3 linked regions of the Mus musculus genome follow. The protein of the gene in region 3 interacts with the protein of the main gene of each other region in a pairwise test. Links are inferred from orthologs where the notes say so. Each region holds a gene or a part of one and is shown on either strand. Other genes may lie near its edges.

Region 1 (4,261 bases), on a different chromosome or scaffold from region 3:
GAGACACAGTTTGGAGCTGAGATGAAAGGATGGACCATCTAGAGACTGCCATATCCGGGGATCCATCCCATAACCAGCTTCCAAACACTGACACCATTGCATACACTAGCTAGATTTTGCTGAAAGAACCCAGATATAGCTGTCTCTTGTGAGACTATGTTGGGGCCTAGCAAACACAGAAGTGGATGCTCACAGTCAGCTATTCGATGGATCACAGGGCCCCCAATGGAGGAGCTAGAGAAAGTAACCAAGGAGCTAAAGGGATCTGCAACCCTATAGGTGGAACAACAATATGAACTAACCAGTACTCCCCAGAGCTCGTGTCTCTAGCTGCATATGAATCAGAAGATGGCTTAGTCAGCCATCAGTGGAAAGAGAGGCCCATTTGTCGTGCAAACTTTATATGCCTCAGTACAGGGGAACGCCAGGGCCAAGAAGTGGGAGTGGGAGGGTGGGGGAGTGGGTGGGGGAGCGTGTGGGGGACTTTTGGGATAGCATTGGAAATGTAACTGAAATAAATACCTAAATAAAAAAAAGATAATTCCCATGTATCATGTCATGAGATGTTCAAAAATTACACAAAACTCATTTAATACATCTGTCTCCTAGGAAAGATTAGGCTTCTTTTGACTCTGCAAGTTTCCCTCCACTAACTTTTACTTTCAGTTTTACTTTAAAAAGAAAATCACCTATCTATAGTAGAGTAATATACTCATGAATATATGTTTTACTAAGCAGATTTTCTATAATCCACCATTTCTTATAATCTCACCAATAACTAGGTTATAACTATGGAAGAGTTAATCTTCCACTCTCTCAATTCTCCTATAACTAAAACAGAAATTAATAGCACAAACTTAATGGAATTAATATACAGATTAAATGAGGTTATGCATGCCAAGCCCTTGAGAGAGTTCTTGGCATCAATTAATTGCATAATCACTGTTTACGACTGCATCAACCTCCCTCACCCATACTCACCTAGGGCACCCAGCACTGCAGCAACCACTACTACCACAAAGCACAGGATTCCTAAACCCACTGCAATGGGCCTCCAAGGTGAAGATGGAGCCTGGCTTCCTGGAAAGTAAGAGAGATGAGAAAGAAAATGAGGGAAGATGATGGAACTCTTTAACAGCTTAGTTCCCTGAAATTTGGGTGGTTCTAAAGGGATCAGCAGACACTAGGCTCTAGCGACTTGAGAATCTAACATTGTAGTGTAAATCTCCATTTTCCTCCAACTTCAGGATGCCTCTTCCTCCATTGCTTCAGCCATGGCATCATGGCCATACCATCTGTAACTCCTCCATTGTAGGCTCACAGGCTAGTCTATAGATCTGGACACTATCCATTCCCTGAAGTCCTACTTGGTCACAGAGCAAATAGCTTTCTGTAGGAGAAACAGCACCAATGACTAAGGATAGCTTTTTCTTGTCATTTATATGGTGCATGATTTAAACAAGTTATTTTCTCTATGCCTTTGTTTTTATTTATTTTTTTTATTTCCAAGTTTTGAAATTAGATCAATAGTACCTTCAAATACTGTTGCTGGGACTGAGCACTTTAGTTTACGCAGCATACGCATATAAGCCATGCCCCTTCCCTCAATCAATTTTTAGACTATTTTCCAAGCAAATTTCACAAGAGAGTGATTGTGTAAGTGGTTATAAATAATTGCATAATGTGAACATCAAAAAGCGGAAGAAAACAAACTGACATTAGAACCCGTCAGTCATCTCTTCCTTTAAGTTAACAGCGAACTGATTTTTGTTTTAAGCTGATGATACCAACAACAGAAAGCCAAGTCATAGAGCTGCCCAATAGGTGACCCTGAAAGAGACTAAAACACTCACTCCGTGTTAGGACTTTAATGTCCTTTATTCTTGTCTTGTTTCCGTTTTAATATCTATCTCCTGATAATGAGACATTTTAATGTAGCTTGTGTTTTCCATAGCTGACATACTAACATCTCGTTTTATAAAATCCAAATTAATCTCTTACCAAAAGAGCATAGCGGATTTGGGATTTACACCCCATGACTCCTGGCTTCTCTTTGGGTTTAACCAAAGATGCATTCATTTTTATTTCCCACACACTCCTCTATGGTTGCATAGAGGACCATGACTTTAGCATACTGTGTTGTATGATTGTACAGGTTGTTCGTTTATCTGTTTCCTGGCCCCCTCACAAGTTGCTAAAAAACAAGGAAAAAGCAACTCTACTAAAATTCTTTCATCTTTCTCTTTTACTCATGTTACCAGTGCTACCTCTGACTGTAGAGTAGAGTAGTCCTGTTTTCTGCCATAAACCAAAAGCAATTTGTGGAAGTCGTTGATGACTTCCAGCAGTCTTTAAAACTATACACACACACACACACACACACACACGTGTGTGTATACATGTATATATATATATATATACATATATATATATATATATATACATATATATACATACATACATATATATGTGTGTATACATGTATATATATATATATACATATCATATACATACCACATATACCAAATATATATCATACACACACGCATATATGAAAATATATTTTTGTAGGCAGTTCTACAAATCAAGAATCTCTCCAGGTCTCTACTTCTGTTATTTCAGTTAATGAGAACAAAGGTGCTGTTAGCAGAAAGAAAATGGATACCTTTCTCTGATCCCCTGGGCCTTTTATGGATGTCTTGAGTGCTGAAGTCTAATTGAGTATATCCATCTTCATCCAGATTCTCTATATGAGAGTGATATTTCATTGCTTCACAGGGCCCTAGGTAGGCAGAGCACTTGAATGTTCTTTACTATAAAATAACTGCCAGGATGAGGCTCACTAACCCAAACCCTGAAACAGCCCTTTGCGAGGTTCATGGAGCACAGCTTAAGTAGTCAAGCCAGTGCCCAAAGCAGGAAATGAAAACGCGTTGGAGTAATTTCCCTTTTTTCCTCTAGATCCTGTTTCTGAGGCTGTAACTTCTGAAGAAAACTGAAATGCTGTATGATGCATGACTGTCGTTTTAGATCAACTGTATGACTGATCCATTGACTACAGTCTTAAAAGACATTGGTTACACTCCCCATTGAAACTGACACGATTAATTGGTATGGCCTACATAAACTTTTAAGCAGTTTGAGTGTCTTGAATTCGACACTGGCTTGTTAGAACTCTGATTGCATCCCCACATCCTTTCATGTGTTCATGCCATCCATTGTAGTAAATACTCTATAACTGCCTGGAGTCGGCAGCATTGGCGGAAGGCTCTCCACAAGGAAATTTATTGCCTGATGGAGGAATCACAGCTGAGCATCCAAAGTACATCACTCCAGCGACACAAAGCGAATGATTCTCTTGGAGGTTTATCATGGAGTAGAAATAGATAGGCGCAAACATTTACTGGGAATGATTCTGCCTTAGTTACTTCACAGCACACCCGCATTCTCATTCTGTCGCCCTCTCTAAGAATTACGCTTTAGCACATATTAGCATTACTATTTTCAAATAAGGAGAAGAAGACATGGATACTCGAAGATGGAAATTTCAAAACTAGAACAAGGGACTAGAACAAAGTCTACTAAGTTTTTAAGACTTGGAATTACTTACTGTTGCACTGGCTTCATTCTTCTGGACTCTTATGATACATATAATAGCCTGAAACATAAAAATAAATTCTCATTCTCTCTCTCTCTCTCTCTCTCTCTCTCTCTCTCTCTCTCCTCTCTTGCAATTCTCAGATTAACAAAAAATGATCAAATAAGTACAGTTTTGAAACAACCATCACTTGATTACTGCTGTAAGTCAACAAGGAGAACATCAAAGAAATGAGAATAGACTTAGTTTAAGGATATGATTGAATTGGAGAAGAAGGTTTTCCATGAATGGAAGTCAGAGTCCACAAAACAAAATTTGAAGACTTTTTCAAGGCTAGAGTGTGCTAATAAAAAAAAAGCTGCAATACTAAAGGGATAGCTAGAGTGAGTCTTCATCAGGACTTGTCAATTGGCACTTATTAAACTAAGAAACTCCTCATCTTTATGACTTGAGGCAGTGGCACACCTGGAAACAATGCACTCTCCTCCAATTCCCAGAGACTGTGAGGAAGAGCAAGGACAATCATCCTCGAATGTTTGCCCTTGAGGAGACTGTTCAGGGTGGTGGACTTCTCATGCCAGAGAAAAGATACTATATTGCAAATCCCAAACATATCTGCTGTAAGAGTGGATTTACCTACCACCTGCTGTCAAGATGTTTTTG
Region 2 (3,446 bases), on a different chromosome or scaffold from region 3:
ATTGCTTCACGCTCGCTTATCTTCCTTTCTCTAGAAACCATAATACGTCAAAAACAACTAAGCCCTTCTGACTTGGAGACAATGCTTACCCTGGCTGGTATTGAGAACTTTGACCACTACTTTTCCTGGGAATCTGTACTTTTCTTTTTCTGGGGCAACATCCCCTTGCCTTCCTGCTGACGTGGGTAGGGGAAAAGATGCTCTCCCTAAAGACTGGCTTGGCTGTCTCCTCCTTTCATTAGCGGGGTAACCTAGAGTTCCCCGAGGAGCCTGGCACGGAAGTGTAATTTCCCGCGAGAACCTACCTGACATTCGAAACGAAATGAAATTTTAAATCATAAATATGCGAGAAAACAAAGGCCGCTGTTTTCGAGATGGCTTTTATGCCTGGGGCTTCGTGTGTGTCACAAATCCCTGGGCTCTCTGTCCAGCCCCTCCTCCCCTCCATGGATCTAAGGATCTATGAAGTAGAATCGCAGCTATGGCCAGGCGAAACCTTCTGGCTGGGACCCAGAAGCTGCGCAGCCGACCTTCCCCTCCTCCAGGAGAACAGAATGACTACCAGGAAGCCAGAAACAAAACACTTAAATGTTGCATTTATTAAGGAAATGTTAAATAAGAAAAAGAGTCAAACGGTGTCACGGATATCAAGAGCACTTTTGTGGCGTAAACCGTGCAGACAGGAGCTAAGAATTCTACTCTGGATCTTTGTCCCGGGCGTAGCTGGAGCGCTAGCCTCCCATAAAGACCCAGCTGGAAATGCACTAAAAGAAAGCACTTACCCCATTCACAGTCTCAGACTCCCCTCCCCCCACCCGTTCTCCCAGAATGACAAAAAACTCTAACCCGCAGGCAGGCAAACAGGCCACTAGGACACAAAAGACTTATCAAATATTTGTATTCAAGCAAACTAACACAAATCCCCTAAAACCACAGGTTACTATCGATCAAAGTTTCACTCTCTTAGTAGGTCGCAAAACCCACACGCATCTATGTTCCTTCCCAATTAGGTCTGCAGCGTGGCGAATAAACAGTCACTTTTTCCGGTCACTGGGCCTCTGAATACACACCCATCCACACCCCGCCTTGCTCGGCCTCTCAAGCTGTCCCCAGTGCTGAGCCCACCTGCAGGTGGAAAGGGGCCTTCGCCGCCTGGTTCATCTCCCAGTATCCCACGCCAGCAGCCACTCCCAAAGTTCTGCGCCCTGCTTTTGCCACCTGCTGCTGTATCCCGAAGTCTGGGCGCTCCTCCTGTACAGTCTTGCTTGGGGCCTTTCGAAGAGCTATCAGAAATCGGTCACTTTTTCCCCAAAGGCAGAAGTCAAGAGAAAAAAACTGACTCCGACAGGTTTGCGTTGCTCGGTCCGTGATGGTGAGGGGTGCATCGCGGCTGGCGGAGTACTGGAGGTGCCAGAAGGGAGGCACCCGCCGAGGGGGACCCGAGGGCCACTCAGTAGGGTCCCACGACCACTGCCTCCACCTCTTTAGACGGCCTCCGGTCCTTCACTAGGAAGTTGATCATGCCTTCGGACTTGATGAGCAGGTTGCAGCCAAGGAAGAAGATGCCAAAAACCACAGTGAGCGAGAGCACACACATGACTGCGATCTGCACCACACGCATGATGTACAGGCTGCGCTCGTCGGGGCCTCCCTCGGCGAAGCCATCGTCGGTCACCACCGACGCCTGGGTGCAGCAGCGCACCGCGCGCTCCAGCGCCTCGCTACTGTTGACCAGGAACAGGCCAGCCACGTCGGTCTGGTTGCCCAGCACTGAATTCATCACGAGAGCAAGCGGGAGCCGGGAAGGCGAGGATCGGAGGGGTGGGGACCAGAGTGGCTGTAGCGCGGGACGAACAGGTGCCCGGCGGAGCGCTGGCTTGATCACTTGTGCGCGCAGGGCTCCTCAGTCTCCCTTTCAAAGTCCCAGGTCCGTAAGTGTCTCAAGAACCTCTTCAGGGCGCGCCGCAAGCTGGCTCCTGTGCGCTGTGTTCTGCCCAGGCAGTGCTCGTTCCCGGCGCTCGCACGACTGGGAGCTCTTGGAACTTGGCGGGTTGGGCCGGAGGGGCCGTGGGAGGCGCGGGCCTTGGCGGTGGCCCGGCTCCTGCTCCAAGCGAACAGCGGCCCCTGCTGGTGATAGAGCCTTGCTGCGCCCGCTCGGCTTAGAGGGGCGGCTAAGATAGGAGCTAACCTAGCAGCAGGCTTTGTGCCTTCTGCATTTCCAAGGGCTAGGCAGGGTTCACTATGCACTCCTGATCTGAAGAGCAAGTAAAGAACTTGGAGAGAAAGGCTGAAAGTTGCAGAGGACCCGGATCACACCCTCTCTTAAGTGTGTCCTTCGAAGCCACCCTATCACCTCTGAGCAGATGTAAGGTGGACAGGTACCAGATGGCGCTGGTCAAGGTACTGGCCTGCTGCCTGTGTTTGGCTGCTGCCTGTTCTTGTAAGCTTTCTGGTGGAGTATTGGAAGACAAGGCAGGTGGGAAGACTGGGAATTTCTTCTCTCCCCACCCCCACCCCCGTTTTTTTTTTTTTTTAAGTAGGGGGTGTTGCTGATGTTATTGTTGTTTTAAGGAAGGGAGAATGGAGGAAAACCTTAGAAATCATAAAAGAGCTACGTCCGCACCCTACTTGGAAAGCTCTTACGTGTGTAGTAAAGCGGGGTTTGTAGTGAGCTGTGAGGCCCAGGCAAGGCGCAGGTCTAAGGAGGTGCTTGCTCTCTTTGTGGTTTGTGTGTGGAGGTGGTTACCAAGAACAGGGTCACCTCTCTGTTAAGGGAGGTGGGCAGAGTGACCAACCACTTCATTGCCACTTTAATTGCGGAGGAGTTTTTGGATGAGCTTCCAGTGTTTTCTGTCCTTGGCAGAAAATCAGTGGTTTAAGGGAATTGCTCATCTACATCCATCAGCTAGAATGTCGGCCAGCAGCTGGGCGCCTCCCTCCAGAAGCTGTTGCTCCCACCCACCCTGCCTTCCTCACCACAAGGCAATCTGCAGGCATTTCGGGGAGCTGCAGACACTCAGTCCATAGTGGCTGTTGGGTATAAGTGCTACCAGAGGAGCCTTACACACAGGCCACTTCTACTTTGTTTTAGACTCCAGAAGATACAGGATCCTCTCTTCTCCTTCCCTTTTCTCCTGTCCCTTGAATCGGTCAATCAAAGCCTTAGAATCCTGACTTTGGTGATGATAGGCATGCACAGAGCCTTCTAATTACACCATGCTTGCTTGTTAAATTCCCTCTGTAAGAATCACTCATTCCACATTCAGATCCTCTGAATGTACTGGCATTATTGGCATCCTTGTAACGTGCTGCCATCCCTCAAGCACAAAGGAGAGCCTTTTAGGCAAGTTTTTTTTTTTTTTTGAAGTTTCAGTTTCTTCTAGCTGTCTAGATTCTTTTATTACTGAGAATAGAGAGGTGTGAACAGCAAAGAACCAGGCTCCCAG
Region 3 (4,131 bases):
TTTAAAGATTTATTTATTTATTATATGTAACTACACTGTAGCTGTCTTCAGTCACTCCAAAAGAGGGCACCAGATCTCGTTAGGATGGTTGTGAGACACCATGTGGTTGCTGGGATTTGAACTCTGGACCTTCGGAAGAGCAGTCAGGTGCTCTTACCCACTGAGCCATCTCACCAGCCCCTCTTTCTTTCTCTCTCTCTCTCTCTCTCTCTCTCTCTCTCTCTCTCTCTCTCTCCCTCCCTCCCTCCCTCCCTCCCTCCCTCCCTCCCTCCCTTCCTTCTTTCCTTTCTTTTCTTTCTTTTTTTTTTTTTTTTTGATTGTTTGTTTCGAGACAGGGTTTCTCCGTGTAGCCCTGGCTGTCCTGGAACTCACTCTGTAGACCAGGCTGGCCTCGAACTAAGAAATCCGCCTGCCTCTGTCTCCCAAATTCTGGGATTAAAGGCGTGCACCACCACGCCCAGTTAGAGGCCAATTCTTAAAGCTATTTGGATGGAGAGTTTCAGAGTAAAGTAGCTTCAGTGAACACACTAAATGACAAATGAGGTTAGAGTACGCAAGGCAATGGATTCAACACTATACTAAAAAAAAGTCAAAAGCTCCCCATTGCCATGGCTCTGAGACCAACTGCTACCCAGTGTAGCTCAACAGACAGCAAGCTCATCACTGCCTGGTGCACATCCAGAAACACCCCACCCCGACTCCCATCCCCGACCTCAGGTTTGCAGACCTTCAGCTCCCTGGAGGATCTGGAATCATGTCTTCCTCATGCCTACCCCAGCCATGGCCACCCCAGCCCCCGCCCGACTCACCGAGATATGGCAAAGAGACCGGTGAGCAGCGGGAGCAGCTTGAGGGTGTCCTGGGGCAGATAGGTGGAAAGCACAGCCAGGTTAAAGAAGTAGAGGATGAAGAGCTGCACAGACTGGGCCACGTACTGCCGGTGGATCTCCACTTCCCGCCTCGGCTCGCCGAAGGGCCGAAGCGCAGAAAAGCACAATAGGCTCAGCCCGTACACAAGGAGCCCTATCAAGAGGGTAAGCACATGGGATCAGAAAAGGCAGGAAGGTTGGGATGGGTTTCCCAGAAGATAGCTCTTTGGGTCGGGGCTACAGAGTGGACACAAGAGCTCCCTGGAGGAGAGGACAGAGAGTGGCAGGTTCAGGATACCCTGAGTGGTTCCAGCAGAATGAAGAGAAACCACCCAGTCGAAAGCTCTGTAATCCACTTCCCAGGTAGCCCTTCTCCACGGGGCCAGACTCACCGAGTACGATGGGAAAGGTGGCAAAGACCCCACAGCGAAGGGTGTAAACCAAGCGGGAGCTCATGGTGGGCAGCCTCGGGGCATCGAAAGGCAGGAAGGCGTATGCTCCGTACAGCAGACAGGGGAAGAAGATGAGGGCCGCCACCACCGAGGCGACAGCTCTCAGTGCCTCACGACCTCCACAGCTTCCACAGCCCCCGCAGGACCGGCCAGGGGGTCTCACCACGGCCTCAGCCCACTTGCGCTCTGGGGGCTCAGGGTGGCTGAGTCGAGCTGGCAGGAAATTCCTGAGCTCGCCTGGTCCAGCGTCGCGATGCAGGATGCGCTCCTCCTGTGGCTTCCGCTCGATGCACTGTAGATCAATGGGCACGAAGGCCCTAACTGTCTTCTCGGGGAGCAGGTTGGCATCCTCTTTGAATGGCTCCTCCGACTTAGTAGGTGCCTCTGACTCTAGGGGCTCTGGTTCAATATCTCGCCAGCCCGGGGGATCCGGAAGTGGGGCGCTAGGATGGGGGTCAGTTCCCCAGGGTAAAGTGGCAGCCTCACTTATTGTGCTGTCTGGACCATCCTCAGGCCCCTCTCTGACTATAGGAGACCCTACTGAAGACCCCACTCTGAGCGACTCAGTTCCAGGGGACTCAGTCCCACCTTCTTCCTCTGACTGCAGGACTAAAGCCTGCGGTGGGCTCTTCTCTGGAGTCTCGGGTTCCTTCATGTCCAGCAGGGCCAGTGTCTCCGGTTCTGTCATTGTGAGGCTTCAGTTCCGAGGGCTACCACAGAACGATGTCATCCTATAGGCAGTGGGAGAAGTTCTGTGAGAATACCTAGTCTTCTGGCCCCAGGACAGTTTCTCAGACCTAGAACTCCCCAGAGAAGCTGGCCTCATGGGACTCTAGGGAGAACACTGTGGGGAGGAAGGTGTTGAAACAGAGAGGCGGGCGGGCAGCAGAGGAGCGAAATGGAGGATCCCTTTCAAAATAAATGTCATCCAGCAGGACAAGGGTGAGTCAGGGGGCACAAGCAGAGGCAGGTGTGGCCTGTCTATACCCACACCTGCCTTCTACTCTCTCCACTAAAACTCCCGGATTTTTGGCCACCCTGGCTTTGGAATGGGAGGCTGAGGTGTCTAGGACTAGGCGGAGTTTCTCTACAGCCAAGGGTCACCCTATAGATAGAGAAATTGGCCCTTCCCCCTTCCTTCCACCTGCCCTTTGACCTGCAGGTCCCTCCAGGAACTCGACACCAGATCTCGGTTCCTCAGTCTCCATTCCAGGAGTCGGTCATTTTCTGAACTCTCCCATTGCCAGTCTCACCCGATTCAGCTGGGCTGGGCTCCACTCAGACTCCCAGCTCTAGTGTGGCCGTTCCCAAGCCTTCCTCTTGTTTCCTCCCCTGCCACCCTCCAGCTCACAGCTTCTGGATTGGGCTCCCTTCGTTCACCTCTTGGGCCCCTCCTACCCCTGCCCTTTGGATCCATGATACCCTCTTACTTTCCATCTGCAAAGAGGCGGAGGATCTCCGGAAAGGAGCTGCCTAGCTCCTGGCTGGCTCTGCAAGTATTTCCCAGTTTCCCTCCCTTGCCTGTGTCTCCAAACCTGTCTGACCAGAGCGGGTGGGGCCCAGATTAAAGGCGCAGGCCCTGCCCTACAGAATCTGCCTACTGGAAGGACTCTACAGGAGGACGTCATCCTTTTTGAAAGTAAGGGTGCAGCTGGGCACAGAGGTGTGGACTTAATGTATTCTGGGATCTGTAAGAGCTTCCAGCTCAGGGAAGCATCAGGGTATAAAAGTGGGTTTGTGTATCAAAGGGTGCTCAGAGTAAATTGGCTAAAAGATGACACTGCAAGTTTGTTCATCCAGTAAATGTTTATTGGGTATCTATTATTAATGAGGCGCTATTTCTGTGGTGGTACAAGCCTTTAATCCCAGCACATGAGGCAGAGGCAGGCAGATTTCTGAGTCTGAAGCCAGGCTGGTCCAGCAGCCAGAGTTATGTAGAGACTCTCTCTCTCTCTCTCTCTCTCTCTCTCACACACACACACACACACACACACACACACACACTCCAACAAACAAAAAAAGTGCTAGTCTAGGCACATGTACAGAAAAGAACAAAGTGACAAGGTTTCTAGCTGTTCAGGTAACCAACATTAAAGTTCACACCAAATCAGTAGTAGAATTTCAGTAGTGAGAGCCTCTTTAGGGTGACTGAAGCTGAAACCCAGTGGAAGTTCCCTGTAGAGGAACAGCGCAGCCAACAGATGGAAAAAGACTTGAGGCAGTTTGAGGAATAGAAAGGAGACTTGGTGGCTGGAGCCAGGAGCATAGTGGTATATACATTGCCATTATAATGTGGAGAGAGAGAGAGAGAGAGAACCCCAAAGATCCGCCTTATAGTTAGGAAAACAATAGGGCTGACAAGATGGCTCACCAAGCCTGACTACCTGAGTCTGATTCCCCAGAGAACCACACTTTTAAAAGAAAACTGACTCTCCCAAGTTCTCTGGCCACGTGTATGTTGTATGCATGCACCCACAAAATATAAATAAATAACTCTCTCGGGAAGAATTCCTTTAAAAAACAAGCAACTTCAGGAGCCACCCCTCAGGCGCGCTGGGATTTTGGCAGCTGACTTGACCTTGTGCATGCCGATCTCCACAACCTCCGGATCTTAAAATCTTTTCGCTGCCCCTCTTCTGCAACGATGTCTGATTCAATGATAGCTGGCCCATTCGTTTTATTATTTTATGCACTTTGGCGTTTTGCCTCTAAACATGTCTGTATGAGGGTTTCGGACCCCCTGGAGCTGGAGTTTCAGATGGTTGTGAGCTGCCATGTGGGTAGTCACTTCTCCAGCACCTAGCTGTCCC

What was found.
Region 1: the proteins of Tmem79 (region 3) and Clec7a interact in binary tests that used the Homo sapiens proteins (3 or more experiments, as listed by UniProt). The two-hybrid records come from large-scale screens. The link is inferred for Mus musculus from reciprocal best matches to the Homo sapiens genes TMEM79 and CLEC7A.
Region 2: the proteins of Tmem79 (region 3) and Rprm interact in binary tests that used the Homo sapiens proteins (3 or more experiments, as listed by UniProt). The two-hybrid records come from large-scale screens. The link is inferred for Mus musculus from reciprocal best matches to the Homo sapiens genes TMEM79 and RPRM.

The regions. Positions count from the first base shown.
Region 1 is NC_000072.6:129,469,918-129,474,178, forward strand, and holds the start of Clec7a (C-type lectin domain family 7 member A), read right to left. Parts: upstream 2,869-4,261; 5' UTR 2,769-2,868; coding exon 2,666-2,768; intron 1,081-2,665; coding exon 982-1,080; intron 1-981.
Region 2 is NC_000068.7:54,083,525-54,086,970, forward strand, and holds Rprm (protein reprimo), read right to left. Parts: upstream 2,029-3,446; 5' UTR 1,781-2,028; coding exon 1,451-1,780; 3' UTR 569-1,450; downstream 1-568. UniProt on the Homo sapiens protein: May be involved in the regulation of p53-dependent G2 arrest of the cell cycle. Seems to induce cell cycle arrest by inhibiting CDK1 activity and nuclear translocation of the CDC2 cyclin B1 complex.
Region 3 is NC_000069.6:88,331,631-88,335,761, forward strand, and holds the start of Tmem79 (transmembrane protein 79), read right to left. Parts: upstream 2,804-4,131; 5' UTR 2,752-2,803; intron 2,700-2,751; exon of another isoform or gene 2,478-2,699; intron 2,053-2,477; 5' UTR 2,010-2,052; coding exon 1,262-2,009; intron 1,024-1,261; coding exon 810-1,023; intron 1-809.